4 linked regions of the Saccharomyces cerevisiae S288C genome follow. The protein of the gene in region 1 interacts with the protein of each later gene in a biochemical or structural test. Each region holds a gene or a part of one and is shown in the gene's direction. Other genes may lie near its edges. The genes, in order: GRX4, BOL2, CMK1 and BUD32.

Region 1 (8,315 bases):
TGGTTATTTGATTTTTTGCCAAGTGCATTCTTTCTGCCAGCTGAATTTAGTTTGGCCTCTCGCGGATTCTTATTACCCGTTTTATCATTGCCCTTAGTCTTCTGGCCAGCATGGTCTTTTTTCCCTTTTTTCAAACCAGTAGTATTAGTACTGCCCGACCCGTTTCCATTCAAAGCTTTTGGTTGCGGTAATTGGTGCTTATCCACTGATTCGTTCTTGCCTTTCCCTCCAGAGTTTGTTGTAACGTGGCTATTGGTATTTTTTCTGTCCTCTGGTATAGGTTGGCTGTTACGGACATTATTTCTAATGTTTGTTTTCCTCTCTTTCTCTTTTCCTATCCCATTTCCACTATTCTTTTTGTGGTTTGCCTTATTTCCTTTCCCTTTGTTTCGATTTGATGGGCCAGGATTACTTCTACTAGTCTCTGATTTGCTTACTTTTGCTGCAACTACTGGATCGCTTTCCACCGCTTTGAAACCTTTGAAGTTTCTTAGATTGGAACTACTAGAGCTTTGAATGGTACTATTTTCTTTCTTGACTTCATAAGCGATTCTACTTATTTTGGCCTCGAAAGTTTCCTTTTTCTCCTTCTTAATCTTAGCACCCTTCCTGCCCTTCTTTCCTCTACCAACTCTTCTGCCGCCCTTTTTTCTAGGCTTTCTAGTGCTATTCTGTGTTTCATTCAGTCCCAAGTAGATGTATAGGAATCTTCCACTTTTTTCAGAAACAAAGTCTTTAGCTCTATTCGATTTGGGCAAGCACTTGTCACATAATACTTCTCCATTTCTATTTGCATTCAAGTTAGACTCTTCCCCACACTCATCACAACAACATTCCCTGACTTTCACGTACTTTTCCCAAAATTTCAATATAGAGCCGTTTTGTAATGAGTAGCTAGTTGATGGACGCTCCGTTTCTGAATATTCTTTCCGAAAACACGAATTACAAAGTAAAACCATGTCTTCACCCCCAAACCTGATGATTTGAAGTTGGTGTATATTTTTATCTTGACATTCCTCACAGCAAATATCTTCATCATTTGAAGTGTCGAATACAGTTTTATGCCTCGTACTTGAGAGATGCTTCATCATCTGCTCAGCATCATAAGCCTGGCTACACGTTCTGCACTGAAAATCCATCGTGTAGTACTTCTTAGTCTGCGGAACTCCTTATATTGTCACAACTTTGTTCGAATTCTTCAAATGATGAACTTACATTATACATCACTCTTGAGCATTTTAAGACTCTAAAATCGCATACAAATAGCATCCATTACCCGACTACACAGGAATAAAATACGGCGGAAATATAAAAAAAAAAAAATAGCGGCATCTTCAATATCTCTGTACTGATTACTAAATAGACGGTAACCAATTCACGTTGCCGATCGAGGTGTGACACATCACTGTCATGTTCATTTTACAATTCTTATTGAGTGAGAGCGCTTGTATAGAATTTCTATCTTTCTTTTAAGAGGTGCAGTTCAAGTAGGATTTAGTTGGAAATGATAACTTGTTTGAGTAAGCTTTGGTTCCGCTTGTTATGACCTGCTTCATTCTCATATAACCTCATTTGTTAAAAATCTAAAAAAGAATCAATTTCTTCGATTATAAGTGCGTACCAAAAAAGCGGCTAATTTTGGTATTTGTGATATCAAATATACATTGCAACCCAATTTTCATCATTGCGCTTGAGTTTACTATTTCAAGTCGGTGTGGTGAAAGGTCTCTCCAATATTTGGGTACCAATTTATCGAAGCAGCTGAAATTTTACGATGTTAGATCGATTCCCGTGTCTGACAGTGTTTGGGCTGCAAATTTTTTGTGCTTCTTGAAGGCAACATGTGAGATCGGGAAGTAAAGCCCGCCAGAGTATGTTCTCAGTAAGTCATATTGACATAACACTTGGATCAATTGCGTATTTAGAAATTAATTCCTGTTTTATTTTAAGATGCTGACATTTCAATTATAGATTTTTAGCCTGTCTTATACCACCTAGAATAATTTGCTAATGTTTAGAAACTGATCTTGGTGCTCACGCTAATATTAAAAAATATACCCTGCCTCAATATCATTATGAGTATTTTATTCTCAAATATCATCCGCGAATTTTCTTGCAGAATATTTCTACAACCACGTTTGTTTTGACTAAAACAGATAAATGTTTTATGTAGTCTCATGCATTGTTAAATGACCAATAAAAAGGGTGTTCCATCAACCTATCTAATCAGAAAAATTAGGTGCAATTCTGCCGTTGTTTACTATAAATGAATCACACCTTATGTGTTGATGTTCATGACTCACAGTAATATCCTTTTTTTTTCTGGTTTTCCGAAAGTTTATCTTCCTTATTTTCATTTTTAAAGGAAAAGGAATGTAACTAATTTAGTATGTTTTCGTTGTAGCAGTCTTTATTAGTTGTTATGAGAATTATCTCCTAACAAGATAACAAAATAAGTGATAATAATGTCTACCTTTTCTGCTTCTGATTTCAACTCAGAAAGATATTCATCTTCAAGACCTTCTTATCCCTCCGATTTTTACAAGATGATTGATGAATACCACGACGGAGAAAGGAAATTACTCGTAGATGTTGGCTGTGGACCAGGTACTGCCACTTTACAAATGGCTCAGGAGTTAAAACCATTCGAACAAATTATCGGAAGCGATCTCTCCGCTACCATGATTAAGACTGCAGAAGTAATAAAGGAAGGAAGTCCTGATACATACAAAAACGTTTCATTTAAGATTTCTTCAAGTGATGATTTTAAATTCCTAGGCGCGGATTCAGTAGACAAACAGAAAATTGATATGATTACCGCAGTAGAATGTGCTCATTGGTTCGATTTCGAAAAATTTCAGCGATCTGCTTATGCCAATTTGAGAAAAGATGGTACTATCGCTATTTGGGGTTATGCGGACCCAATTTTCCCGGACTACCCTGAATTTGATGATCTGATGATTGAAGTTCCTTACGGGAAGCAAGGACTGGGACCCTATTGGGAACAACCGGGGAGATCTCGCCTTCGTAATATGCTGAAAGACTCTCACTTAGACCCAGAACTTTTCCATGATATACAAGTTTCATATTTTTGTGCAGAAGATGTGAGAGACAAAGTAAAACTCCACCAGCATACAAAGAAGCCATTGCTAATCAGAAAGCAGGTCACCCTAGTGGAGTTTGCAGATTATGTCAGAACCTGGAGCGCTTACCATCAGTGGAAGCAGGATCCAAAGAACAAAGATAAAGAAGATGTAGCAGATTGGTTTATTAAAGAGTCACTAAGGAGGAGGCCGGAACTTTCCACCAACACCAAAATTGAAGTTGTTTGGAATACTTTTTACAAACTTGGCAAAAGGGTCTGAAAATTTCAGCCAATAAGCATTATATTCGTGAAATTTTAGTAAGAGCGCGCGTTTTAATTGGTGAAGCCTCGCGACGTATTCACAGATGTCCTAGAAAAAGTTACCATATCTGAAGACTGGTTGATATTTAGCTTAAATAGCATATTAATACTGTACCAGTTGAACCATTTTTTAATCTGTTACTGCCAGGAACGTTGATTCGTTTTCCCGGTAACATTGTTGTCTTTGGGTACTGAGCATATTTCATTTTTCCACTTACATATAACTAAATTTCTGTGCTCTTCCTCCAATAAATATGACTGTGGTTGAAATAAAAAGCCAGGACCAATTTACGCAACTAACCACTACAAACGCTGCTAATAAACTCATTGTCTTATATTTTAAAGCTCAATGGGCTGATCCTTGCAAAACTATGAGCCAGGTGCTAGAAGCTGTTAGTGAAAAAGTTAGGCAAGAGGATGTCCGGTTTTTATCAATAGATGCAGACGAACATCCAGAAATATCAGACCTTTTTGAGATTGCAGCCGTACCATACTTCGTCTTCATTCAAAATGGTACTATTGTAAAAGAAATATCAGCCGCAGATCCTAAGGAGTTTGTGAAAAGCTTAGAAATTCTTTCGAATGCTTCTGCCTCACTAGCGAACAATGCCAAGGGTCCTAAATCTACGTCTGATGAGGAAAGCAGCGGGTCTTCCGATGATGAAGAGGACGAAACTGAAGAAGAAATAAATGCTAGGCTGGTGAAGCTAGTACAAGCTGCACCTGTGATGCTATTCATGAAAGGAAGCCCATCAGAACCTAAATGCGGATTTTCTAGACAGTTAGTTGGTATCCTCAGAGAACACCAAATAAGGTTCGGATTTTTTGATATATTAAGAGACGAAAACGTTAGACAAAGCTTGAAGAAGTTTTCTGATTGGCCTACTTTTCCTCAGTTATATATCAATGGGGAGTTCCAGGGAGGTTTGGATATTATCAAGGAATCTATAGAAGAAGATCCTGAATATTTCCAACATGCTCTACAGTAAGCCTTATTTTGTAATGAAAACTATATTCATACATATATACATATTAATATATATGTATATATTTTTATTTATTAATTTATTCTAGAATGTAATGTGCATAGATTTGTGTGGAATATTTCCTGGGGTTTTCTCGTCAAATTTAAAGAGTAAAAAGTTAGAGTATTTCCAGATCTGAATCTGAAAGGGACTCACTGATAACTGGCGCTTTACGCGGCTGTCTCTGGGACAGAATTTCACATAGAGACTCGTCTTCGTCGCTTCTACCAAATGTTTCATTGCCAATATTATTGCTGTTATCGCTATCGCTATCGACAATAGGGTCATCATTAAAAGAAGTTTCTTCGTCTTCAAGATCGTCGTTAGCCATCATCACATTTCTTTCATATTGGTCAATCAACATGCGAAGCCTTCTGTCCCTTTCCTTTTTTTGATCCTCTAAATGGTCACAATTATTGCTATCATTATCCATCAATGGTGCTAGTCCATCCTCCACAGATAGTGCTTCGATAGGCCCGCCTATCCGATCCACAACGTCGATTCCGTTCTCAACTTTCATTATATCACTAAATTTGTCCATGGTTTGTTTGGGCCCCGAGGAGCCACTCGGAAGATTCTTCAAATAATAGAGAATGTATTTTTTTTTATAACTCTGACACTTTCTAATTAGAGGTGCGTAGTAGCCAAATTCTAGAGTTATATTCCTGAAAGAATGTACCGCGTTGTACTTATAAAGACTAACATTTAACCAATCTTCAGCTTGAACTTTAAATGAATTTTGTAATTTTCTTACTTTCCATTCTCTTGGAAAATAAACCGTTCCATGATTATGGCCTTGTTTACTGATGTTACGAAAGGTTTTGCGCACTTCTCGTAAACCATACTCATTGGATTCTGGTAGACCATTCATATTATCACACTCGCTCAGGCAATCCACAATTGATGATGCATCAGAAATGCTGAATTCGCCTTTATTAAATGTGTTATAGTTCTCTAATATTCCTAATTTGAAATCCTCTTTCGATAACAAATTGTTCGAATTTTCGAAGAGGTTATTAATCATTTCGTTATCGTTATTCGTGCTATGGGAACCATGTATCACCTTCCCAATGGCATGAAAGTATGATATGGTGGATTCTCGGGTTGAAATCGGCAAACTTCCACTTGATGTCGCCCAAAATTGAAGGGTCGTAATGGCCGACCTAATATCACCAGTCTCTTGCGCAATATAATCTATGACTTCCTGTCTTTTATTCCATTTATTTTTCTCCTTCAACATTTTCATATTCTGTACACAAATAAATTTCAAGTGCTTTTTTAATAAAGTGCTGTTAATTGGATTAAACTTAATTCTTTTCAACCTTGGATGCATCAATATTTCTTTGTTCATTATGGTTTCTGCACTAAATGTATAATCAATACCAAATTTGCGATAATTATTATCGTTCTCTGGAATTTCACATTCAGTTATACATATAACAAGGGGAGGTAATAGAGGCTCCGAACTATATAGCCACTGTAATATAAGTTGTTGAAATCGACGTCTGGTATCTATATGGAAGACGTTGGGAAGGTCCTCGATAAGTATTAATGACAGGTTGGACATCACAAGATACCGTGCGCCTTTTAAGAACTCACTAAAGCTTTCCATCTGAGGAAGATCGTTGACTATACAATCACCTCTAAACTCGGTCACTTTATGCTCGTTCGGGGTGCTTCGAAAGGACGTTCCGTTGCTGTTTTGTCTGTATTTAGGAACTAAGATTTTTGAGAGTTCTTTTATGACCGTACTTTTAGAGCATCCACTGGGGCCAGACAGTAGTAGGATCCTATGCTTGGCGTTAGGTAAAAACATGGCATCTAAAGCTTCTTGTACATCTTTAAGTTTTCTTTTATGTATGGCCACTTGCTCCAAACAATTGGGCTTGAACTTTTCGTACCACTGTTCACCGCCGTCGTCGTTGATACTTGGGAGGATACTAGACGTATCTTGCTTGGAAAGAAAGTCATTTTCAGTGCTTCTCGCCTTACGAACTGGCGAAGTCGGTCTAGATGAGCTCCATTTTGTTATTTGCGAGCCCAATGAACTGAGACTATATTGTAATAAGGGCCGTTTGTTCAAATTCGTACTATCCATATCATTCAGACAGGAACAAACTTGATAATTAGTGGTGTTGAATCAAGTACTATTAACGCATTGTGATGATCTCTCAGATATCAATGCGTGTTTGCTTCTTTGACGATCTAATATTGAATATTGTCGCTCTTTACGAGAATATTAAAAATTTATGCTACTAAAGCTATGTCTACTATAAAGGAATAATACACTAATAGAGATAATCTTGAGTAAAATAAGGTGAAGGTAAATATAAGTAATTGCTTTGGAAGATTTACCGTGAGCCTTCGTTATTAAAAATGACTGAGCATGAAACGAAGGATAAGGCCAAAAAAATTAGAGAAATTTATCGTTATGATGAGATGTCCAATAAGGTGTTGAAAGTTGATAAACGCTTTATGAATACCAGCCAAAATCCTCAAAGGGATGCGGAAATATCACAACCAAAATCCATGAGTGGTAGAATTAGTGCTAAGGATATGGGACAGGGCCTGTGCAATAACATTAATAAAGGACTAAAAGAAAATGATGTAGCCGTTGAAAAAACTGGAAAGAGCGCATCATTGAAAAAAATTCAGCAGCATAACACCATTTTGAATTCTTCCTCCGATTTCAGGTTACATTATTATCCAAAGGATCCCTCAAATGTCGAAACTTACGAGCAGATTTTGCAGTGGGTTACAGAAGTTTTAGGCAATGATATACCCCATGATCTTATTATTGGAACTGCTGATATATTCATCAGACAATTGAAAGAAAATGAGGAAAATGAGGATGGTAATATTGAAGAGCGAAAGGAAAAGATCCAGCATGAGCTAGGCATCAATATAGACTCCCTGAAGTTTAACGAATTAGTTAAACTTATGAAAAACATTACCGATTATGAAACACATCCTGACAATAGCAATAAACAAGCAGTAGCAATTCTTGCCGATGATGAAAAATCAGATGAAGAAGAAGTAACAGAAATGTCCAACAATGCTAATGTTCTTGGGGGAGAAATCAATGATAATGAAGATGATGATGAGGAATATGATTACAATGACGTTGAAGTCAATTCTAAAAAAAAAAACAAGAGGGCATTGCCAAACATTGAAAACGATATAATTAAACTCTCCGATAGTAAAACAAGTAATATCGAGAGCGTTCCGATATACTCAATCGATGAATTTTTTTTGCAGAGAAAACTTCGGTCAGAGCTTGGTTACAAGGATACCTCTGTAATACAAGACCTGTCAGAAAAAATTTTGAATGATATTGAAACACTTGAGCATAATCCAGTAGCGTTGGAGCAGAAGTTGGTTGATCTGCTTAAATTCGAGAATATATCACTGGCTGAATTTATTCTCAAGAATAGATCTACAATTTTTTGGGGCATACGACTGGCGAAGAGCACAGAGAATGAAATACCGAACTTAATAGAGAAAATGGTTGCAAAAGGTTTGAATGATCTTGTGGAACAGTATAAATTTAGAGAAACTACACACTCAAAGCGTGAACTCGATTCCGGTGACGACCAGCCACAGTCTTCGGAAGCAAAAAGAACAAAATTCAGTAATCCAGCAATACCGCCCGTCATAGATTTGGAAAAGATTAAATTCGACGAAAGTTCTAAATTAATGACCGTGACAAAAGTATCCCTACCGGAAGGATCATTCAAAAGGGTGAAACCACAATATGACGAAATACATATTCCAGCTCCTAGCAAACCTGTTATTGATTATGAGTTGAAAGAAATTACTTCTCTACCAGATTGGTGTCAGGAGGCGTTTCCTTCATCGGAAACAACGTCCTTAAACCCTATACA
Region 2 (8,195 bases), on another chromosome or scaffold:
GTAGAATGGTTGTGGTGGTAATGGCACAGAAACCTCCATCGCTACGTCCACACTTACGATGAGTGGTATACCTATCGCTACGATAATGAAGCACAGAAAAAGTGTACTTATCATATTACCGCAACTATGTACGTGAGGTGTAAATTATGGCTCTCATAGGACATAAGTAGGACAGAAATTGAAATTTTTGTGTTGGCAGAGCGAAAGAAACTTGAATTCGTTTATGAGGAATAAATTCTCAGCTCCATCCATGGTTCCAGTTGACGCTATGATACGCAAATTCCTTTGTGATACAGGTATCATTTCTGCAATTCCTCGTAGATTGTTGATCATACCATAAGATTGATGCTGGGGAAAGTGGAGAAGCTAACTTAACGATTGAGGCCTTGGCAAACCCTGTTAAACCAGTACTATCGGCCTTAACATGCGACTTAGAGAGAGAGAGAGAGAGAGATGTTTGCGTTTGCGTCATGATAGAGATGCTACATCCACATAGTTGTTGTAGACATGTTTAAAGGTACAATTCTGCAACAACGCCTTGAAATTTTCCAAAACTAACCAAGCACATTGGAGTTACGCTTATATAGTAAGCCACTTCACTTGCGTTGCTGTAAAGGTTGATAACTACAGGTAGGAATTAATGAATGTTAAATAAAAAAGGGAAATACCATCATCTCGACAAGAAAGGCAAAATAACTTTTCAATCTCACCAAGACGCGCGAACGAAACTCGTGCGTCTATATTAGTATCTTGACGGCGCTTTTACATCATTAAAGGTGTAATAAAACTGAAGTCATGCGATGGCACTGAAATAATCAAAGTAACTATTTGTGATGGCATGCACTGTGATATGATCTCAAGGAAAAAAATGCAATGTCGGGCGCCAATACTTATGATCATGCTTAGTCTCGACATTGACCTTGCTTGCTACAGTAATCTGGTGTCCGAGTAGTGACATCTAGGTACCGGTGAGAACTATATCTTCATTACTACACTTGTCGCCCCTGAATATTATCGCTACACACGCGAAAGAGCTCTTGTTAAAGTTACTCTCGCATCATTGCGGTACATGTTTTGCATATTCATCTGAAGTAGGAAAGGGTATAAGCAGTATATGATGTACCATCTGCATAAGCGGTGTTTAATGCGTACCTATCGTTTAAGAACAAAAGGAACACACCCACACCCGCTCCAATACCATATTGAGAGAATAATGAGGTAACATATGCTTCTATTTGGTTCGATAAGACGGCTACTAGTCCAAAAAAAGTCAAACAACAATTTCAACAGCTACATTCTGAAGATAGAACGCATTTTTGCCTGAATATTGCAACTCAATAGACATTCTAAAGTGCTACGAGAAAAAAGCTTGTAATGGACCATGGCAATGTGCGCCATATATATATGCGGCTCCCTTATGAGTAGAAGAAAATATATGACTGGTGGTACAAAGTGGCATGGTGGTATATAGATGTAGGAACACCATTTGAGTTTGCCATAATGATTAAATTTCCCTTTTTATAAAGAATTAGCCGCCCATAACACGAAAAATATCACAGTTGACGAAAGAAGACACGTCGCCTAAACGCGTAATGAATCGCAATATACGAAAAGCTAAACGGGTTTTTCAGAATCCTCTTACCCAGCCTTGGATAATAGTTTTGGCCGAAAAAAAAAAAAAGAAAGAAAAAAATTGAAATTTCGCGATCCGAACAAACAATGAACAGAAAAACAGAATATATATAACGCTGCCAAGCCTATTTCTTGTTGCCGATTAATTGTTGACATCCTCTTAATTACCAAAAGAGCCTAAGAAAACAAACACACTAACCACACAGTATCTTTCGCCCGAATGTCTGAATTGAAAACAGGTCATGCAGGCCATAACCCTTGGGCTTCAGTTGCCAATTCCGGTCCGATCTCTATTTTATCCTACTGTGGTTCCTCTATTTTAATGACGGTGACTAACAAGTTCGTCGTCAATTTGAAGGATTTCAACATGAACTTTGTCATGCTTTTCGTGCAATCTTTGGTTTGTACTATAACCTTGATTATCCTACGTATACTGGGCTATGCGAAGTTCCGTTCATTAAACAAAACAGACGCCAAGAACTGGTTCCCTATTTCCTTTTTACTGGTCTTGATGATCTACACCTCTTCGAAGGCTTTACAATACTTGGCTGTTCCAATTTACACCATTTTCAAGAATTTGACTATTATCTTGATTGCTTATGGTGAGGTTCTCTTTTTTGGTGGCTCTGTCACCTCCATGGAATTGTCATCATTTTTGTTGATGGTCCTTTCTTCTGTCGTTGCAACTTGGGGTGACCAGCAAGCTGTGGCTGCCAAGGCTGCTTCATTGGCTGAAGGAGCAGCCGGTGCTGTTGCCTCCTTTAACCCAGGTTATTTCTGGATGTTCACCAACTGTATCACTTCTGCATTATTCGTTCTTATAATGAGAAAGAGAATTAAGTTAACTAACTTCAAGGATTTCGACACTATGTTTTACAACAATGTTTTGGCTCTACCTATTCTATTGCTGTTTTCTTTCTGTGTGGAAGATTGGTCTTCAGTTAATTTGACCAATAACTTTTCTAACGATTCGCTAACTGCTATGATCATCAGTGGTGTTGCATCCGTCGGTATTTCTTACTGTTCCGGTTGGTGTGTTCGTGTTACTTCGTCTACTACATATTCGATGGTAGGGGCTTTGAACAAGCTGCCAATTGCCTTGTCTGGTTTGATTTTCTTTGATGCTCCAAGAAACTTCTTATCTATTCTCTCCATTTTTATTGGTTTCCTATCAGGTATTATTTATGCTGTTGCCAAACAAAAGAAGCAACAAGCCCAACCTTTACGTAAATGAGAACTTACGGGGGGTGCAATTTATTTTTTTTTTTTGGTTTATTTTATTTTATAGAGGCATCTAATGCAAGTAGATTTATATACAATTATACTTAAAATTGATATACCTTAGAACAGGTCGGACACAACGTGTGGTAACTCCAATATATCACTAATGACAATAGCGCCTTCTGGTGTTTGCCCCAAAATTTCATTTACTTCATTCTCAACTAAATGAATACATGTTTTCATGCCCAATTTGATACCTGTCTCGATGTTTTTCCCACTGTCATCTATAAAATAAGCATTCTCGTATCTTGCCAACCCGCTTTCCTTCATGGCTTTTTCAAATGCTTTAACATGTGGTTTGCAGACCAGCGTATCTGTCCTAGAGTAGTCACAATATGTCAATCCATCAAATAAATCCGCTATACCCAACAATCTCAGGCAACGTATTGCGTGGTTTTTATAAGCGTTGGTGAAAAGCCACAATTTATCAATCTTTCCCGATTGTCTCAATCTCAACAGCATATTCCTTAATGGTATATCAGGTTTCAAGATATCTTGTAGTGGTAAGGAATCATCCACAAGCCGGTTATATTCCAGTGCGTTCACTTTGTGGAACATTACAAGTCCCCTTATGGCAAGTCCATACTCTTTGTAGTAAGAGTTATTCAAAACGTGAGCATCTTCAGGTGATAGTTTCAAGTGTGTTTGAAAGAACCTCAGTATAGATTGTTGCATAAGATCGTGAATTCTCGTGGATGATTTATAGAGACAGTTGTCGATATCAAAAAAGAAAACTTTTAAGTTCGGGTTTTGAGGTGTAGCAGAAATATCTTGATCGATCGGAAATGTCACTTTCGAACCTGGATGAGTCAATGATTCAAGATGTGCTTTATTCTTGGCAATTTGTTCGTTCACCTCATTCTGATAGGTTGCCAAATCGGATGCAGTATATTCAACAGTCATGAAGCCTAGTAATGATTCGGTCCAAGAGCTTACTCATGTATTCCGAAATTAATTCAGGTGAAATGGGGGAGTAATATGATATCAAGAAGGCGATCACTTATTGAAGTCCACATAGATACACACAGATAAACATATATATATTATGTATATATATATATATATATATATATATATATATATGTATATATCAACGCCCATACCATTATCATTATCAATAAGTTTGCGAGGCGGGTACCCTCCCTCGTGCTATTATATTACTGTTGCCTTAATTGAGTAATTTGATCGATGACTAATTGCAAGAGATTGTGATTGTTGTACGAAGTTATAAAATCATCCACAACACTCGTTGAGTTTTCCAGTGGTGAAGGTAAGCGGGATGAGATCTGAGTCTTAAACTCTTGCAATTGAGTAATCAATTTATTTCTCAAATCTGTCAGTGTCTCTTGAGGGCATTTATACAATTCTAAGTTTTGTAGGATTTCAATCGTAGGCTGCACCGTTTGATAAATTTGCAACGTGGTATCATTGGTTAAACCTTTTGAATAGAATACCGCTGTATCAATATATTGTTTCAATGCATCATCATCAAGTGGAGATACAGTGCCATCATTGAGGTTCGTATCATTATCATGGAAGATATCTAATTTATGAAGAGTTTCAGGCTCCTTAAGCTTGGCTCTCAAAGTAGAGAGTGTATCCAAATGTGTGTTTATTTCTTTCACGGTTCTCCGAATGAGATGGTCTCTAAAGGTGGACGAATTCACAAAATCGACAACAATCGCGTCCTTATATTGCTGATTGGAGTGATATTGATGATCTTTGCTGTTGGCACTTGATATCAGTAACGCTTGAACGTTATCGTTAAATAGTGTCTCGAATAGGGATTCATTGAATATAGAAAGTAAATCATCGTCCCACTTCGAGGAAAACTCCGTGTTTAGTAAATTGTATAGTTTTACCCACTGTAGTAAAGTTAAGTTTAATGTCTTCATAGAGTCCACCAAGAACTTCTGTAGTCGACAACATTTGTCCTTGACAAGCGCTTCAAATTTGGAAGGAACTGGTATCAAAGATAATTCGTGGAAATTCAACAGTAGCTCGTCGAATATCCGCGACGGAGTAGTGGAAGTAACTATACGATTACAGAAGTTGTTGATGGAGATGGTCCAATTTGAAATTACTAAAATGTTTTGCGATGGTATGCTGACTTTTTCTTCGTCACGAGGTGGTGATATATGGGTAGTGGTTTGGTATGGTAGTGGAGTTAACTTATTCAACTGAAATTTTTCATCATTGAAACACAGGGATTTAAAATCTTGATCAACATTTTTCAAATTGAGCGACAAGTCATTAACAGAATCGGTCAAGCTTAAGATCTTGTTATAGTTCTTTAGCAAATTCTTTTGGAAGGCCTCATTGGTTTTAGTCAAATCGTTCTGTAACTCCAATTGATAATCTTTAATCTGTGGAATATGAGAATCGCGAAACAATGGTAAGACTTCATCCATTTTCTATCGTATTGGTTTTTTTTAGGTTTTCTACCACAAGATTTGTTGTACGAATGTGTTATTTATTATTCACCGCCATGTTTCATTTTTCTTCAGCATAATGATGAACTGTAACAGAAAATAGGAAAAAAAAATTGTCATCTGAGAAATTGCTTTGGATGACCAGATCCAAAACAGACATAAGCATTCGTATAATTGGTACATAGGTATATATCAAATAAAAATATGCATTATTCTAAAAAAAAAAAAAAAAAAAAAAAAAAAAAAATCAAAAATGTCTCTCTAAAGGGTGATTATAAAAAACTTGGTTTGGGCAAGTTTTTAGCCTCCCTTGGACCATTAGTGGCGAAAGTGGAGCCTGCATAAGAGTGACTGAGTTTTTTGGCACTGCCATTACAACCCATTGGTATTATCCCTTGAGAGCCATGCGGGGATTGTTTCTGGTTCAGAAGCAGATTCTTTAGGTTCTGACTCAGTAAACGAGTATCATCTTTGTTGTTCTGTCGTGGCGTTTCTTTATTATTCTGTCTGTTTTTTTTACCTAAAGTAGTTGTAGAGGAAGGGGAAGAAGGTGGAGAGTGCTTCTTTTGATTAAATGATGGTTTCTTGTTGGAAGAATGGCCGAAGTTAGGTTTCTGACCGTTAGGAAGAGTTTGAGGAGGTGGTATATCTGTGATATAGTTGTTATTATTGGCGTTCTTAGCAGCATTTCCCCTCGCACGATTATTTCTAGTTTTTTGTTTGATTAGATTATTTGTCTTGTTCCTGCCAGCCGATGGCAACAGCCTGGAGCTGTTGAAATACATGGTATCCGTCGACATGCCTTGTAATATTTGTGTGAGTATATTTGTGTGCTAAGTGTAATTACGTTACGCTTTGCTGAGTACTTCGTCTTCAATACAGAGTATGTTATTGTCCTTGTTATTTGAAGACTTTTACCTTTTCTATCCGTATTTCTCTATCCGATACAACAACATCATTTTACACGAACAGCCGGATGATAAAACTGTAGTACGTATGGTATTTGTGATATCCTATATAGCCATATAATTACTAGCAGCTATGCAACAGTCAAAGGATCGCAATCCATTTTGCTTACGACTACTTCGTGGCCCTCATCTTGCAACAAGCCCTTCATAACGTCTTGAAGGAATCCACGCTCAGTATTTGAGTGGTTGCAAACAATAACGGTCTTGCCCATTTCTTTCCACTTCAGTACTTCATGATGTGACATTTCTCCCGTATAGTAAAGGTCTACGTCCTCTTTTAGTTGCTTAAACACGCCAGAACCGCTCCCGGCACAGACAGCGACTTTTTTGATTTTGAGTTGATTCCATGCGGATGGAGCAGCAAGAGATGCTACTTGTACATAGGGAACCCGTAAAACACGCTTGACATTTTTGACAATTTGCTCCAAAGAGATGTCTTTATTGAATTCTACGAATCTACCGTAGCCAATCAAGTCGTCAGTTTCGCCACTTACAGTTTCCAAGGCATAAGACTTTGCGACGTTCTCTCCGTTGTTCAAACCCCTAACCAACCAGTCATTTACACCGCCACGAGCGGCATCTACGGCAGTGTGAGGGCAGTATACGGATATTCCGTACTGGATTAGCTTTATAGCTGTCTCGTGTTGTGGGTTTGTATGTGGGCTTAATCTGTTCCAGCTTGGGAAAATAAAAGGATGGTAAGCAACAATTACGTTGCAGTTAGCATCCACAGCTTCTTGAGCAACTGACTTCGTGAGGTCTACAGTCAAAAGGACCTTTGTTTTAGCGTTTGCATCGGCAGTGGTGACTTGTGCAGTGGAACAATCGATGAGAAGACCCGTATTGTCCCAGCTCTTGTCTGCGTACTTTTGAGGGTAGAACTTGGTAATGCTACGCACAAGTTTGTCCAATTGTGCTCTAGTAATAGCTCTGCTCATTGCGTTTCGGTGGACTCTTGTTCTGTTTCCTTCCGACTGTGTATTGGAATAAGTTTTTCGGTGTTATATATATACATATATATGACAGGTGAAAGAATTGAAAAGGTGAAAATAAATGACGAATTTGCAAAATCACATTTCCTAACAACTCAGTGGAGAGAAACAAAGCGCCAACGACACTATAAGATGCCCGTTACTGAACAGGGACTCCGCGAGAGGATAGAATCAGCCATACCGCAAGTTTACCATATCATTGTGACGGATCTTTCGTACGGTTGTGGTCAGTCGTTTGATATTGTGGTGGTCAGCGACTTCTTTCAAGGTAAAAGCAAACTAATGAGGAGTCGTGCAGTGAACAAGGCTGTGAAAGAAGAGCTGCAGGAGATTCATGCCTTTAGCTGCAAGTGCTACACTGAGGAGGAATGGTCTAAGATTGTGGTATGAAAAGGATGATATTGTTCTATTATTAAGTTTCGAAAGGAGACGGCATTGAATCTTTTTGGCATAGACGATTTTGCTTTCTTACGTTATTTACATCGGAGAGTATGTATTTGTGTAGTTATGTACTTAGATATGTAACTTAATTTAATGATATGGTGGGGGGCTATCCTCCATGCCCCATTTCCAGTTATTTGAAGGTTCTTGCGAGTTCAAACCTATGAAGTAAAACGGTTTCTTTTTAGATGTATCTTTCTTGGAGTCCAAATTTAGCGATATTTTTTCTGGTATAACGTATTTATCCCTTATCGATACTGTTGTTTTCAAATATGGGGGAGATTGTTCTTCAAGCTCGGGTATCGGTGTTTGGACCGGTGTGGACGTAACTGTTTCAATAGCAGTACTATCATCAACAGCCTGTTCTCCTTGTGATTGTAGGTTCGATGGTGTGCGGGTCTTTTTGCATTTGATCTTTCTTCTCCTTGGTTTGGCATTGTCGTCGTTGC
Region 3 (7,355 bases), on another chromosome or scaffold:
AAGGTGCTGACATGTTCATTGAATCATTGGCTCGTCTCAATTACAGATTGAAGGTTTCTGGATCCAAGAAGACGGTGGTAGCGTTTTTGATCATGCCTGCCAAAACCAATTCCTTCACTGTGGAGGCACTGAAAAGCCAAGCCATTGTAAAATCTTTGGAAAATACTGTTAATGAGGTCACCGCATCCATTGGGAAGAGAATTTTCGAGCATACGATGAGATACCCTCATAATGGCCTAGAATCAGAGTTGCCCACTAATTTAGATGAGCTGTTGAAGAGTTCTGAAAAGGTTTTGCTGAAGAAAAGGGTATTGGCGCTGAGAAGACCTTACGGGGAATTGCCTCCGGTAGTCACACATAACATGTGCGATGATGCTAACGATCCAATTTTAAACCAAATTAGACATGTTAGATTATTCAATGATTCGAGTGATCGTGTAAAAGTGATTTTCCATCCTGAATTCTTAAACGCCAATAACCCTATCCTTGGTTTGGATTATGACGAGTTTGTTCGCGGCTGTCACTTGGGTGTTTTTCCATCCTATTACGAACCATGGGGGTACACGCCAGCAGAATGTACCGTCATGGGTGTCCCATCTATCACAACAAACGTTTCTGGGTTCGGTGCCTACATGGAAGACTTGATTGAAACAGACCAAGCGAAAGACTATGGTATTTATATTGTAGACCGTCGTTTCAAGAGCCCTGATGAATCTGTCGAGCAATTAGCAGACTACATGGAAGAGTTTGTAAACAAGACCAGAAGACAAAGAATCAACCAAAGAAACAGAACCGAAAGACTATCAGACTTGTTAGATTGGAAGAGAATGGGGTTGGAATACGTTAAGGCTAGACAGTTGGGTCTTCGTAGGGCCTATCCAGAGCAGTTCAAGCAACTGGTGGGTGAAACAATTAGTGACGCCAATATGAATACTCTTGCCGGTGGCAAGAAATTCAAGATTGCCAGGCCTTTGAGTGTACCCGGATCCCCCAAAGTAAGGTCCAATAGTACTGTTTACATGACTCCGGGCGATTTAGGTACCCTTCAAGATGCTAATAATGCAGATGACTATTTTAATTTGAGCACGAATGGAGCCATCGACAATGACGATGATGACAACGATACGTCTGCATACTACGAGGATAATTAAAACCATCTTAACTTCTGCTAACATATCTTACTCTTTTAGCTGAGCATCAAATTAATTTTAGTATTGCACGTTCTGTTATTCTTGTATAAGTACATAGAAATAATAGCAGTAGAAAAAATAGAAGTAATTTTACCTTTACAGTACATATGTGTTAGTATAAGGAACCTTTTACGTGGGATACTTTGCTTACGAAGAAAAGGCTGAAAAAAAAAAAAAAAGAAACTCCCCCCGCGTTTAGAATGGTGCAGCCGAGCTACCTACGCAGGGGATAAAAAGAACGAAAGCCACATCGACTACAAGCCAGAGTATAAATGGTTTCAATTCTCGTAGAGAACTCACAATTATATAATATTGGAAGACACCAGAAAAAATAACGAGTCAATTACTATGGACGACAAAGTTTCAGAAAAGGAGAGCTCCCCAAAACAAACAGAGGAGGATTCTGAAGGTAAAATGGCACATGTGCAGCCTGCTTCGTACGTGAATAAAAAAAAATATGTTTTTGGGAAGACATTAGGTGCTGGTACATTTGGTGTGGTGAGACAAGCCAAAAACACTGAAACAGGGGAGGACGTGGCCGTTAAAATCCTGATCAAGAAAGCACTAAAGGGAAACAAGGTTCAGCTAGAGGCTTTATACGACGAGTTAGACATTTTACAAAGACTGCATCATCCAAATATAGTGGCATTTAAGGATTGGTTTGAATCAAAAGACAAGTTCTACATTATCACGCAATTAGCCAAAGGGGGTGAATTGTTCGATAGGATTTTGAAGAAGGGTAAGTTCACTGAGGAAGATGCAGTGAGAATTTTGGTTGAAATATTGAGCGCAGTCAAATATATGCATTCTCAGAATATTGTTCATAGGGACTTGAAACCGGAAAATTTACTGTATATAGATAAAAGTGACGAATCTCCACTGGTAGTTGCTGATTTTGGTATCGCAAAGAGATTGAAAAGTGATGAGGAACTCCTCTATAAGCCGGCAGGCTCACTGGGTTACGTGGCTCCAGAGGTACTTACTCAGGACGGTCATGGTAAACCTTGCGACATTTGGTCGATAGGTGTCATTACGTATACTTTGCTTTGCGGTTATTCGGCGTTTAGAGCCGAAAGGGTTCAAGATTTCCTTGACGAATGCACAACTGGTGAGTATCCAGTGAAGTTTCATAGGCCTTATTGGGATTCCGTTTCCAATAAAGCAAAACAATTCATCTTGAAGGCTCTTAATTTGGATCCTTCAAAGAGACCGACCGCCGCAGAACTCTTGGAAGATCCATGGATTATTTGTACCGAATTGAAGACGCACAATTTATTGCCTGGGTTAAAGGAAGGATTGGATGCTCGTCAAAAGTTCCGTAATTCTGTTGAGAGAGTCAGATTAAACATGAAGATCCAGAAATTAAGAGATCTGTATCTTGAACAGACAGAGAGTGATTCAGATTTTGACGAAGGAAGTCAAGCAAACGGTTCAGTTCCTCCATTGAAAGCAACGGATACCAGTCAACTATCCAAGAAGCTATCAGAAGAAGAACAGTCTAAGTTGAAGTCCGAGTTAACCAGCAAAGCTTTTGCACAATTAGTTAACACAGTGCTTGCCGAAAAGGAAAAATTTTTAAATATTAACAGAGTCTGTAGTTCTGATAGCGATCTTCCTGGGAGTGATATAAAGTCTTTGGATGAGGCGAAGGAGAAACCAGAGGGGAAGGATACCAAAACAGAAGAATGATAACAGTATGCCGTTTTACCACACTGGCGAATAAATCTTCAATGACTTTGTAAGCTCGAATATGCGCAAGATTTGACTTTGATATTTTGCACTTTTTCGTCCTCACTTTCTACCTTTTTTTTTTATGCCTTAGTTGAAAAGATACGCGTATCTAATTATGTACTAATAGTCTTAATTTTACATTACTTAATTAATCGAAATGCAGCCTGTAAGGAGTTTCACAATCTTCACGTTCGTTGAAAGCTAGTTGTCTAAGTGCGCTGCCTTTTAACTCTACCATCATCAAAAGAAGAATCATTGTCGTTGTCATCATAAATATCAGCTTCGTCGTCTTCTTCATCATCGACATATTCCTCGCTATCATATTCCGTATTATAGTTTACAGTCTGTCGCTGTATCCTTCTCAACTGTCTCTTGCCTGGCTTCATGTCTGCAAATTGCACTTTCATTTGTTCAAACTGACGAAGAATGAAATAGTAATCAGATAAAAATTCCTTTAATATCTGTAACTTCTTTCTCGCAGTGTTATATTTTGCGTCTTTTGGTAGCGGGTTTGTATTTATGGAGGGATTATTATCAGTGGTAGATTTCTGCTCCAATATGTGCGCTTCATTATTCAGTGCTTCTTTTTCTTTTTCATTTCCCTCCTTTTTCTCATCTTGAGGTTTAACAATTTTATAGTCCAAGAACTCCAAGAACTCCAGCAGTGTTGCTGAATCGTGGCATAATTCATACCAATAAACCTTCCCCGATGTATTTCTGCCTCGTGCAACATCATGCGCCAACGATGGTGTGTCATGGTAAAACAATTTGAATTGGGCACTCATCGATTGTCCATCATTTTCAAACAGTGTAAAAGCGTTGTATTCATTATTTTTGAATTTCGATAGCAATGCTTGTAGATTTCTCAAATCAGTGAAGGTGCTCATTTCGAGTGAGTCCCCATAACTGTGTAATCTTGGCATATAAAAATCACCTATATGGGGAACTCTACCAAGGAAGAACTCTTGTAATCGCAATTTATAAAGTCTTTCCGAAAAAGGATTGGCTAATGGTTGATCAGGTAATTCGCCTTCAAACAATGGGACCCACTTGTCGTACAGTGAGAACAAAAGTTCATCCTTTTCGGATTTTACAGCGTTCTTCAATTCCGCTTTAATTTCCTTCAGTATTTCTAGCTTCCTTGATAAATCTGGTTTTTTACCCTCTTTTAGTTGTTTAACAAAATGTTTTTTCTTACTTCTGATTTCATATCTTGATTGAATTAGTGAGCAGAGTTTTTTAAACTGATTTATGGTATTATCTACCCCTTCAATTGTATACCTAGGCACTTGTTGTGTTTGGATGCCAAAAACGGGATCTTTTTTACCATGAGTTAATTTGTATATCTCGTCATGAATAGCAGATGAATGGGAAGCGCACCAGTCAGTTAACGCCCTCAATAAAACAACGCGATCCATTGGTTTGAGCGCCAAAATTCCATTCTTGTCCATTTCTCGATTATACAAAGGATTTGATTCCAATGGGAGTGGTTCATTAGCATTCCAGGTATATATATTTGGCGTTAAAATTTCTGGATGACTGGGATCCACCACTGGTGTTTGTTCATCTTGTTCAAAAAGAGCAGTTTTAGGTTTGGAGATATCTTGGTCACTGGGGAGTTGTTGACGCCATTCTCGTGGATACCCCCATTCGCGAGCTACAAGTCTTAACCGATAAAGAGGATTGGAAAATACTTTCTTGGAGGACGATTTTAGATTCTCCCAGGTTGTTAATGGACCTTTCTTCTTGGCACTTTTACCATCAAAATTTTCAGTAAATGTTAAATCTAACAAGGATAGGAACAGTAAATTCATTTTGTCTTGGCAATAGACGATATCCTTGATGGCCATAAAATCAGGATATAGCAATAAGGAGGTGTCTTCAGGACCCTTCACTATACCAGCTGCGCTTCCATTAGGATCGCCGGGATACAAATCTAAACCGACCTCAAAATCTTGGAATGATAAATTTTGTAGGTCAGAATGGAAAAAAGAACTAAACTTATTTATGAACGCCATCAGCTTAATGATATCTCCAGCATATGGCACAGGCTTCATGTTCGGATTTTTTAACCTAGAGATGACACTATACTGGTTCTTGAAATCAGAAGTAAGCAAGGGTATTACAGAAGTCCAATTGCTAGGGATCAAAGCGGGTTCTACTTGTTCATGGGCTGGTTTAGGTTTCGGCGCCACTTTTTTGTCATTAGTCTTCAGTGTAGGTTTGCCATCCTTAGCAATTGAGGTAGTCTTCTTTTTCTCTACTTTATCATTTGATTTAGAGTTCTGTGTGGAAGGTGCCTTTTTCTTAGGAGGAGCAGGTCTCTTCCTCTTGGGTTTATTCGCCCTTTCCTTTAACTCTTCCTCGTATTCATCATAAATGCTCGTTCTTGGCTTAGGAACACGTCTTGATCTCCTTAAATTATCAGAAGATTGTGAAACACTAACACTTTGATCGGTTTGTAAGGGCATAGCCATTGATACGCGATCATGATCATGGTCAGCAAGCTGTGCGGAAGAGCTGCCCTGGGCTTCTTGCTGCAAATTCTGGATAGAATTGGATGGAGAATCCATAAACAATAGGGGATTGCAAACTTTGCTTGAAGTACTTGGTAAGTGATAGTTTTGTTGGCCGAAACCAATGTGGAAGATATCACCATCTTAAGAAATTAAGTCCATTCATTAGTATAAACTCACGTAATTTCAATGAATTTGTTAAAGTTTCAGCAAATCGTGAAGCACGATATTTCACTTTTATGATCCGAGAGGGAATATTACTAGTACTTCCACGCATAAGGAAAGTCAATGTTAACAAATACCGCCATACCGCCATACCTGTCCTCTGTAGTCACTGCTAATGTTAATGTAAATAAATTACATCTAAAAGTTGTTTTCTCTTCAGTAATTTTAGAAACCGTTAAGAGGAAAAATGGGCACTTCCTTTCTTTGTTTCAGAAATTAAGCTCAAAAAGATGGGCTCGATAAAAGTAGCATACTATTTACTCTATCTTATTTTTATTTTCTATATACTAGTCTATCAGACTCAGACGTCAACGATGTGGAATACGGATGGAATCATTAAATAGTAGCAAGAAGTACTTTATTCTTATTTTTCAAATTGCGGCGCGCCAACAAAACGCGTACAAAAAAAGCAGATTGGATAGTACTTTATTCTTGTTATTTTGTCATTGGAAAGTATAAGCTGGTTGTGGATTACTCTTCACACGATGTGCCTGTTTTTTGTAGGCGGGCTTGTACTTTCTGGGGAGCATGCTGTGTATGTTGTAGGTCTGTGGCAATGTTTGTCGGGAGTGTTCGCTGTTACCATGAGTTGTCTGTGAGTAGTAGCGATTGTAATTGTGGTTGTATCCTACTGGTCTTCTTCGGGAATACCAAGGAATGAAAGAGTTATGAGGAACCTCACTTTGATCCTGGTAATTATTTGGTTGTTGTAGTTGATATTGGCGGGGCTCTGTGAGACAATGATTTTTTTTTGAATATATTTTAAAGCAATCGGCTGATTGGGTAGCCTCAACGCCAAATAACCAAGGAGGGTCGTAGTTATCTTGTGAATGGCTTGAGATTCCCTCATAATATAAAATATTTGCCTTTTTTTTTTCAGTAGGCATTTCCACATTTTCTTGCTTTGCAGGTAAGTCGGTTATATTGATTTCATCCAAAGATAAGGATTTTTGATTTTCAACATGCCTTCTAGAAAATATTTGTTTACCATTCAACTTTGGAGCGAAGAAACTCACCAAACCTGCTTGCTTCAATGGAGATTTGATTTCAGGCGGTGGTTCATCTTGATTTGTTACCGCCAGTTTATCTTGATTGGGATCTAAGGTCCTTGGTAGATCATTAAAAAGACTTGTGATGTCATACACAGATTGGTCTGTGCCCTTAGTTGTTTGTGGATAATTTTCGCCAAGGGAACTTGATGTTTGACTCGTTCCATATAGTTTGAGAATACTGTCTACGTTCTCTATACTAGCTTCTTTAGCTATGTTTTCTGTCTGACTGCGCAGACGTATCAAACCTAAAACTGAGAAAATGCACGCCAATAACGAGCAGAGGGAACAGGGAACAGTTAGCCAGCCACACCAAGTCGTATAAGGATGAAATTGTAACAGGATCACGGTGCATGCAAAGTAACAGGATCACGGTGCATGCAAAAATAGTTGATAAAAGTGTCAATATGTGTAATATAGCGTTGGAAGTAATAAGTGAGACATTAGTTCCTCCAGTCTGAAAAAGAAAAATAATAACCAAGGGAAGTGCAAAAGAAATGAAAGTCAAACATGTAGCAACCGGTATCGAAATCAAAAGTCCTCCTATTGTATGTCTTGCCTTAGGACTCAGCCACCAACGTTCAAGAGAAGGGCCAGGTAATATTTCTTTCGAGGTGTTATATATTAAACGTACTCGAGAGCAG
Region 4 (8,623 bases), on another chromosome or scaffold:
AATCGATGAATGGAGAGCCAAATATGGTGGTCAACAAGTGTAAGGTTCATCGGAAGCATTTTTTTTCCTCTCTTTTCCCTTTCAATCTTCACATGATAAAAGTGTATCAATTAATATATAGATTTTACTCTGATATAAAAACAAGTTTAAAAAACAATTCTCCCGCTAACACGTTTATACCCTTTCTTTTAGTTGAGTAATTGTGTAGTGTTAAGCTGAGAATATTCATGATTTGATTTCTGATAAATAACTTCTGCTTTATAATAACAAATGTTTAACGTGTTAGCGCCATAATTATATAGAATTGAGGGAAAAAGAAACTGAAAACCAAAAATACCCTGCGTCGCTTGAAATGAGAACAGCACAAATCAATTTTAAAGGAAAAGGTTTCAAAGAAGAATGGCAGCCAACTCTGGTCTCGACTCAAAAGTTGAATATTATCGGCTTCAAGAGAATGAAATTATTAGCGCTGTATCAAGTGAGGATGCAGATCAAAATGATGCGGGCTTTCGATTGAGTACCATCCATTTGCATTTGTTCCATGGATTGAAATTTGCCGCTCTATTGTTCACAGTGGTGCCTGTATTTATAATCCTCGACAGTATGAAGATCATTTTTCAACGCAAACGTAGGTTTTGCCTTGACCATGTCAACAGAAGTTTTTTAAGACAAAGTTCTTGGATCCTCGATGAACGCATCTGTCAATACGTGCTCAATCCTTTATTTGTTTGTTTATATCCTTCTACATTTTCTAGTCCAACATATGTCAAATGCAACATTCCTATAGAAGATCAGAAATCTCCAGAAAACAATATTTTCCAAGACCATCAATTAAACGCACCCAAAATAGTTAGCACAAAGTTTTATCAATATGTTATGCCGGAAGGATTTGACCCCACGACAGATCCAGTTTTAGTATTCTATCATGGGGGTGGTTATGCTCTTAAATTGACGCCTACGTCGTTTTCTTTCTTGAATAATATGCGAAATGCCTTTCCTAAAATGGCCATTCTTGTACCAGATTATACCGTTACAGCTACCGATGACCAGTCGAAAAAGTACCCTCTGCAAATTTTACAAAATGTGGCCATTTTTGATTACGTTGTTAAGACTATGGGGTGCAAAAATGTAGTGATTATGGGGGATTCTGCTGGTGGCAATGCTGTTTTGAACATTGTTTTATATTTAAGAAAGTGTCACAGAGAAATATACCCGAAAAAAGTCATAGCCATAAGTCCCTGGGCCAATGCCACTTTCTTCCACGAGGGAGAAAAGGAATATATGCAAGGAACACAAGAATGGGATGGTCTATGTTTGAAGAGTCATTCGATGTTTGGGCGAATGTTTGTAGGAAACAACCCAAACGTCGATTTTACCAGCGACCCTTTTGTTAATATTGAAAAGAATTTCGAAACTAAAATGTGGCAAGATATTCTGAAAAAGTGCTCTGTGATGATTACTTATGGTAGTGATGAGTTGTTGAGCTTTCAAAACAAGATCTTGGCAAAGAAAATGAGTGACGCTAGCGAGGGATGTAACCACTTTACCGCCAAAAATGTGCTGGTTGAACACCAAGGTTATCATACGGGCCCAATATTAAACTACTCTCGTAATATGGATCGCTGGACCAACATACCATCTATCGCTCGCATTCTTGAGTTTATGCAATCCTGAATTTGTCATAATGACAATTACATAACCCCTTTTATATACATAAATATTTGGGTCAGCACAAATTTATTTTGATTTTCCATTATTTTAGCAGCAACAAGGTTGAAAAAATCGCCGGCGCATCACCAACTTGAAGGACAAAGATAACCTTACTTGAAATCAAATAAGTGATGAATACGACAGCGGAAAAGGTTATACGCTTTGCTCATTATGACGCAAGAATTCATTGATAAAGTATCTTCCTACCTGACTCCTGATGTGGACATTGCACCTATTTCTCAAGGTGCAGAAGCCATTGTTTTCACAACGACTACTCACCCATATCTCCCAAGAGCAAAGGATTCTCATCAAAAGTATATTATCAAATATAGGCCACCAAAGCGTTATAGACATCCACAAATAGACCAGGCACTAACAAAACATCGTACGTTGAATGAGTCGCGTTTATTGGCCAAATTATACTTGATTCCAGGGCTATGTGTCCCTCAACTGATAGCGTGTGATCCATACAATGGATTCATTTGGTTAGAGTTCCTTGGAGAAGATCTTCCCGGAGGGCACGGTTTTAGTAACCTAAAGAACTTCCTTTGGATGCATGACCAAGATCCATATAGTGATCTTGTAGCAACTACACTACGGAAAGTGGGGCGCCAAATTGGGTTGTTGCACTGGAATGACTACTGTCATGGTGATTTGACAAGTTCTAACATTGTTCTCGTGCGAGATGGTGCGAGATGGACGCCTCATTTGATTGATTTCGGTCTGGGCTCAGTTTCAAACCTGGTCGAAGATAAAGGCGTCGATTTATACGTCTTAGAGAGAGCTATTTTAAGTACACATTCGAAGCATGCGGAAAAATACAATGCTTGGATCATGGAGGGGTTCGAAGAGGTCTATCGTGAACAAGGTGCGAAAGGTGCCAAGAAACTGAAAGAAGTTACCAAAAGATTCGAAGAGGTCAGGTTGCGTGGTCGTAAGAGAAGTATGCTAGGATAATATAAATGCTAGCGTACTGCCTGTATATCGCTGCACATAATATGTATCTATAATTTATATTAACGTACATAACTTTTAGGTATGTTACCATCAAAGCGTGTCCGAGTTATTGAGATTTTGACAAATTCAGACAAATCATTTTTGAAGAACCATATATATAAATATATAAAGAAAAGAAAGGTAAACCAAAGACAGCAAACAATCGAAAAGTGGACAACCAGCAATGGTAGATTCAATTCACCGTATTGCATCGGCGTTGGATACGGCCAAAGTAATAACGAGGGAAGCTGCCGCGGTAGCCACCTCTAAGCTGGGTGAATCCTCCTATACTTATTATTCTCAAAACATCAATCCTCAACAGTTAGTCACCTTGTTAAATTCTAGGAACTCTAGAGAAGTTAGAGATGCAATGAAGAGAATAATATCTATAATGGCTTCCGATGATGACTCTATTGACGTTCAATTATACTTTGCTGATGTTGTAAAGAATATCACCACTAATGACACCAAAGTGAAAAGACTTATTCACCTGTATTTACTTAGATTTGCAGAAAATGACCCAAACCTGACCCTGTTATCTATTAATTCTCTTCAAAAATCATTGTCTGATTCGAATTCCGAACTGAGATGCTTTGCTTTGAGTGCCCTTTCTGACATGAAAATGTCATCATTAGCACCTATAATTTTGCATACTGTCAAGAAATTGGTTACAGATCCATCTGCAATGGTTCGTGGTGAAGTCGCCTTGGCCATTATCAAATTATATAGGGCTGGAAAGAATGACTATCATGAAGAATTGTTGGATATTCTGAAAGAATTAATGGCAGATACAGATCCTAAGGTGATATCCTGTGCTGTCCTAGCTTACAAAGAATGTTATGCGGATCACTTGGAGCTATTGCATGGACATTTTCGCAGATATTGTAGAATAATTAAGCAACTAGATTCGTGGTCACAATCATATTTAATTGAGCTGCTAATCAAGTACTGTAAGCAGTATTTACCAAAACCAACTGTGGTCGATAAATCATCAGAAGGTTCCCCAAGGAGTTGTCCTTTACCAGATAAATACAACGAGATTGAATACCCATCTTACGAGGTGGTAAATGACCCTGATTTAGATTTATTTCTACAGAGTTTGAATTGCTTAATTTATAGTTCCAACCCTACAGTGATTTTATCGTGTTGCAATGCGCTATATCAGTTAGCTTCACCATTGCAGATGAAAAATACTAAATTTATTGAAGCATTGGTTAGAACGGTAACCATGACAGAAAACCAAGGTAACAAAGAAATGCTTTTACAAGCAATTCACTTCTTATCGATCTTAGACCAGACACTATTTTTACCCTACACCAAGAAATTTTACGTTTTCCCCAAAGATCCTATTGTGGCATCAATTTGGAAGATCCAAATTTTGTCCACGTTAATAAATGAATCAAACGTTAAAGAAATATTCAAAGAATTGAAATATTATGTTGCCAGTGCTCATTTCCCAGAAAATGTTGTTATTATGGCGGTTAAGTCATTATCTCGATGTGGCCAATTGTCAACGAGTTGGGAATCACATGTAATGAAGTGGTTAATTGATCATATGGAATCCCACAACCTCTCTGCTTCTGTCCTAGATGCATACGTGAATGTTATCAGGATGCTGGTGCAAAAAAATCCTACAAAACATCTTCGCATAATCTTCAAGCTTGCAGATTTATTAACAGTTCAAACGAGTTTGGCTGATAATGCTCGTGCAGGTATTGTTTGGTTATTTGGTGAAATTGCCTCGATTGAATTTAAGATATGTCCGGACGTTTTGAGGAGGCTAATCCAGAATTTTTCAAATGAGGGTCCTGAGACAAGATGTCAGATCTTAGTGTTATCAGCAAAACTGTTGTCATATGACATTGATAATTTTAAGCAAGCGCAAGTTACTGGAAGCGAAGAAAATAACCAAAATCCCCCATACTATGATTTTAGTGGTTCAAGAATCTCTCAAATGTACAATGCGGTCCTTTACTTGGCAAAATATGATGACGAATTTGATATTAGGGATAGAGCCAGGATGATTTCATCCTTGTTTGATTCAGGGAAATATGAAATTGTGTCACTACTATTACAAGCACCTAAACCTACGGCAAGAAGTGACGATTTTATCGTTTCTGCAAGATTGGAAACACATACCCCAGAAATAAAAGAATTTTTTAGAATGCTTCCTTGGAATACTGAAATTACTGAGGTTGGCGAGACAGGTAACGATATTAGAGAAGGCGCAGAATTGAAAGACTATAACAAATACAAAAAAAGTTTTTCATCGCAGTCTTTTATTACCAACAACTCAGCAAGATCTTTCACATCTAGCTCCAACGCAAAATTGACTGGGATCAATGACGGCGATAGCAATAGCATCTCAGGTAAAGGTAACGTAAACACCTTCACATCTCAAAACGGGAAGAAATATCGTTTGCAAAGCCTGGACGAGTTTTTTTCCGACATTCCAGAAAGGAAGAGTAAACCAAGGAAAATTATAAAGGTGGTGGAAGAAAGCAGTGACGAGGATGAAGACGAATCGGAAGAGAGCAGTGACGATGATGAGTATAGTGACTCTTCTTTGGGAACGTCTTCTTCGGGAACGTCTTCTTCGCATCTGGAGCTTTAGAACTCGGAGATAATACTATATAAATATGTATATTTATAGATATAGATATAGGCATGTATATCTTCCCAGTAATATACGTGTTTGGGACGAAAACAAAAGAGAAGTTGGTAAACAAAGTTTCATGTGAATTTGCTTAGTACAAAAATACATACAAATATAAAAGAAAAGTTACAAATTGCAAACACACTCATAACGAGGGGCAAAAAAAGTGGAGGGTGAAGAAAGTCAAGCCTAATACATGTACTTAAACTCAGGGTTTTTGTCGCTTAACCTTTCGTCGTATGGAATAGGCTCTCCCAATTCATTACAGCGATCTATTATTGCTTTCTTTTTATCGTTTTCCCTCTTGTATAGGAAAATTTGCACAACCGTCATAAATATGGAGAAGACTTGAAAGGCCAGACTAATCGACAGCCCTTTGATATATCTTGGCTTGTCTTTGGCAACAAAAATTTGACCAGAGACCAACCCTGAACCAGACCCGAAAAATAGATTAATTCCTAAAGCGGTGGCTCTCTTGAAGTAATTACCAGTGTTACCACTTAACCATAAACAGTTACAGGCAGCATTAACGTAAATACCCATACAAAGAATGTAAACGCCAAAATATCTCACACCATGAACTTGAGAACCAAGGACGATAGCTATGCCTATCGAAGTCGTCAGACAAGCACCCAGGATGAATGGAGATCTCAACTTTATACGATCAGACCAAACGGCACAAATGAAGAACACAATTGCTGTAAGGAAATAGATGGGCACGGTCATTAATTGAGCTCTGACATTAGTGAACCCCATACTGGTAATGATGATCGGCAAGAAGACTGTTAGACCAAAAGTAGTCAAATCGATACCGAATAATGCCACAGCACTAGCCCAAGTCTTGACATCCTTAACTGCTTGCCACACTTGGAACCATTCAAATTTTTCGTCCGGGTCAAAAGTGTTCATAGTCTTGTATCTTTCGGAAATGTACTCTTTTTCCTCCTTATTGAAAAACCACGAATCCTCCAAATTTTTGCTCAACCCGAAGGCATAGAATGGTACGAACCCCAAAGAGATACAACCTTCGACAATGTAAATGTATTGCCAGTCCTTTAGAGAACCGCTGATTTTGGAACAACCATAAGCAATCAGCCCACCAAAAGATGAAGACAAACAGGCTGCACTGAAGACAAAAGCGAACCTCAGAGCATATTGTTCTCTTCTATAGCAGACTGAAAGGTACATGTTAATAGCGGGATAAATCATACCTTCAAAGGCACCCAGTAGTAGTCTGACAACGATCAATTGAGCATAATTCTTAACCCAAGCAGTTCCGAGCGAAATAGCACCGAAACAGGTCAAACAGATACTCATCATTAATGGCGGACCCATAATTTTCAGAAGGTTAGTACCTATGGGGTCGAAAAGAACATACGTCGCGAAAAAAACTGTGACACATGTGTTATATTGCGTTCCTACAAGGTGGATATCCTTGGATAGACCTGCAACTTCTGCGTTACCAATATTCGATTTATCCAGGTTAGAAAGGAAATATAGCATCCCCATAAGAGGAATCAAGTATATATCCATTTTGCGCAAGACACGCTTTTCCATTGGATGGGAAGGGGAGGGGATGCCGTCATCATCCGTGGTAGTAGCCATAATTTCCCGTTCGGTGGCAAGTTCCGACTTCTTGTCATGGCTGCGATTATGCAAGCTAGCGTCATGGCCTTCATCTTCCTGGAACGTGACTTCCGTAGGCTTTTCTTCTGATCCATCATTGGTGGGTGATATGAAAAGCACATCATCCACCAAATGCTTAGGTGACTCCATTGTAAATTTGTTGCTCATCTAGAGGTAATGACAATAGTTCAATGCTCGAAAGTGAAGAAATATTTCTTTTTTTTTTTATATAAGCCTTCTGCGCAGTCGTTTTTTTTTCAGTCGCTGTCTCACGGGGGAAAATAGTTTGAAAAAGGCGAAGAGGGGGAAAACTGTGATGTGAATACGACTTCTAAGACAGTAAATATGGACGTATGCTTATAGCTTGGAGAGTTAGTTAATATAGAGAAATATAAATAGTAGATAAGAAGTACATATGAAACAAAAAAAAAATGGCAATAAAATAACAAAAGGATCTCGAGTAGGAACATACTTCAAAGAAAGGAAAACTCATGGTTTATATATTATCCAGAATTTTTAACGTAATCGGAGATGCGACAGATATTTCAGGGTGTATGGATGAGGTCAAAACAATACTAATCACACACGCCGCGAAGCCTTCGACGGTTCGTAACCTGTCCTCATGTGTGACGCATAGGATTCTACGGTAGATCCCGAGTATGCCCGGCTGTGATTGGTAACTATGATTGCGAGTAATAAGCGATCCGGCGTCCGGTGGTATTTTCTATTTTGTTGGTGCGACCGCTTCTTCGCAGAGAATGGGTGACTTGTAAAAGGAGAGAGACACTGGAAAAACCAACAGAATACGAGCAGGAAACTAGAAAATAAAAAACTAAAAAAAAAAAAAAACAAAAAGGAAAGGAAAAATTAGTAGAAGCCGGCGACGATTGCAGAATCCAGAGGGATACCGCTGTAACAGAGAATACGGGCACCCAGACAAGTGACTGGCGCCAGACTTTGTTATTTCACCTGGACCCGAATAATAATATTAAATAGTGATAATAATAATAACATATAGCATAAATAATAATGTACAAAATAATAATAATAAATAAATAAATGGTTCACCATGGACTGTACAGGCGTTCCGGAACGCACATAGTGACAGTACAAGACCTGGTTGTGTGCCATAATGGCCGGCATGTGAAATCGCGGCTTCTGTATATGTACATATCTGTTCTTTTACCATGTCGTCCATTTTCCGTTCACTTTAGCCAACACGGCGACGTTGTGCGGAATTGATTTGAAGTCGATTTTTTCTATGGAGTATTCCCAAACTGCCCCCAAATTTTGCAAATTAGTGCGCGGGGTGAATGGGTGCGTCAGAGCATTTACTGACACCTGGCGGCATAAGCAGCGACGTATCGTGTCCAAGGCAGGCCATAGCAAGAGCGTTTGTGATTGATTTTCAAGGCGCAGATACCATTGGAACACAGTAGCGCAGAAGGTACTCCTCAAAAGAGACAGAGAGAGAAATCAGAGTCAGGGAGCTTAGTAGCTGCTGTTACCAATATTATACAATAAGTAAGGTTTGCATATGCGGAAACTTCGCACTTGAATTTTTTTTTTTTTCTTTTTTGGTAGCTTTTTGATGTTTCCAGAGGATGTGAGTCAATGAGTGGTGTGACCCCAATA

Evidence for each region.
Region 2: the proteins of GRX4 (region 1) and BOL2 form a complex in vitro, tested with the Saccharomyces cerevisiae proteins (one study listed by BioGRID).
Region 3: the proteins of GRX4 (region 1) and CMK1 form a complex in vitro, tested with the Saccharomyces cerevisiae proteins (2 studies listed by BioGRID, with this or other methods).
Region 4: of the proteins of GRX4 (region 1) and BUD32, one has a biochemical effect on the other in vitro, tested with the Saccharomyces cerevisiae proteins (2 studies listed by BioGRID).

The regions. Positions count from the first base shown.
Region 1 is NC_001137.3:534,514-542,828, reverse strand, and holds GRX4 (monothiol glutaredoxin GRX4), read left to right. Parts: upstream 1-3,660; coding exon 3,661-4,395; downstream 4,396-8,315. Other genes in the region: ECM32 (RNA helicase), read right to left, coding at 1-1,139; YER175W-A (uncharacterized protein), read right to left, coding at 2,015-2,179; TMT1 (trans-aconitate 3-methyltransferase), read left to right, coding at 2,466-3,365; RAD24 (Rad24p), read right to left, coding at 4,550-6,529; ATP-dependent RNA helicase BRR2, read left to right, coding at 6,808-8,315. UniProt on the Saccharomyces cerevisiae protein: Monothiol glutaredoxin involved in the biogenesis of iron-sulfur clusters. Binds one iron-sulfur cluster per dimer. The iron-sulfur cluster is bound between subunits, and is complexed by a bound glutathione and a cysteine residue from each subunit.
Region 2 is NC_001139.9:75,042-83,236, forward strand, and holds BOL2 (Bol2p), read left to right. Parts: upstream 1-7,332; coding exon 7,333-7,695; downstream 7,696-8,195. Other genes in the region: VRG4 (GDP-mannose transporter), read left to right, coding at 1,853-2,866; SDT1 (nucleotidase), read right to left, coding at 2,974-3,816; Golgi transport complex subunit COG1, read right to left, coding at 4,071-5,324; EDC1 (Edc1p), read right to left, coding at 5,618-6,145; NIF3 (uncharacterized protein), read right to left, coding at 6,385-7,251; ERMES complex subunit MDM34, read right to left, coding at 7,837-8,195. UniProt on the Saccharomyces cerevisiae protein: Involved in the regulation of the iron regulon in response to decreased mitochondrial iron-sulfur cluster synthesis. May be involved in mitochondrial organization and biogenesis.
Region 3 is NC_001138.5:168,061-175,415, reverse strand, and holds CMK1 (calmodulin-dependent protein kinase CMK1), read left to right. Parts: upstream 1-1,538; coding exon 1,539-2,879; downstream 2,880-7,355. Other genes in the region: glycogen (starch) synthase GSY1, read left to right, coding at 1-1,151; IOC3 (Ioc3p), read right to left, coding at 3,131-5,494; YFR012W-A (uncharacterized protein), read right to left, coding at 6,106-6,192; DCV1 (Dcv1p), read right to left, coding at 6,920-7,355.
Region 4 is NC_001139.9:1,011,018-1,019,640, reverse strand, and holds BUD32 (serine/threonine protein kinase BUD32), read left to right. Parts: upstream 1-1,881; coding exon 1,882-2,667; downstream 2,668-8,623. Other genes in the region: methionine--tRNA ligase MES1, read left to right, coding at 1-43; SAY1 (steryl deacetylase), read left to right, coding at 400-1,674; APL6 (AP-3 complex subunit beta), read left to right, coding at 2,891-5,320; TNA1 (Tna1p), read right to left, coding at 5,552-7,156. UniProt on the Saccharomyces cerevisiae protein: Component of the EKC/KEOPS complex that is required for the formation of a threonylcarbamoyl group on adenosine at position 37 (t(6)A37) in tRNAs that read codons beginning with adenine.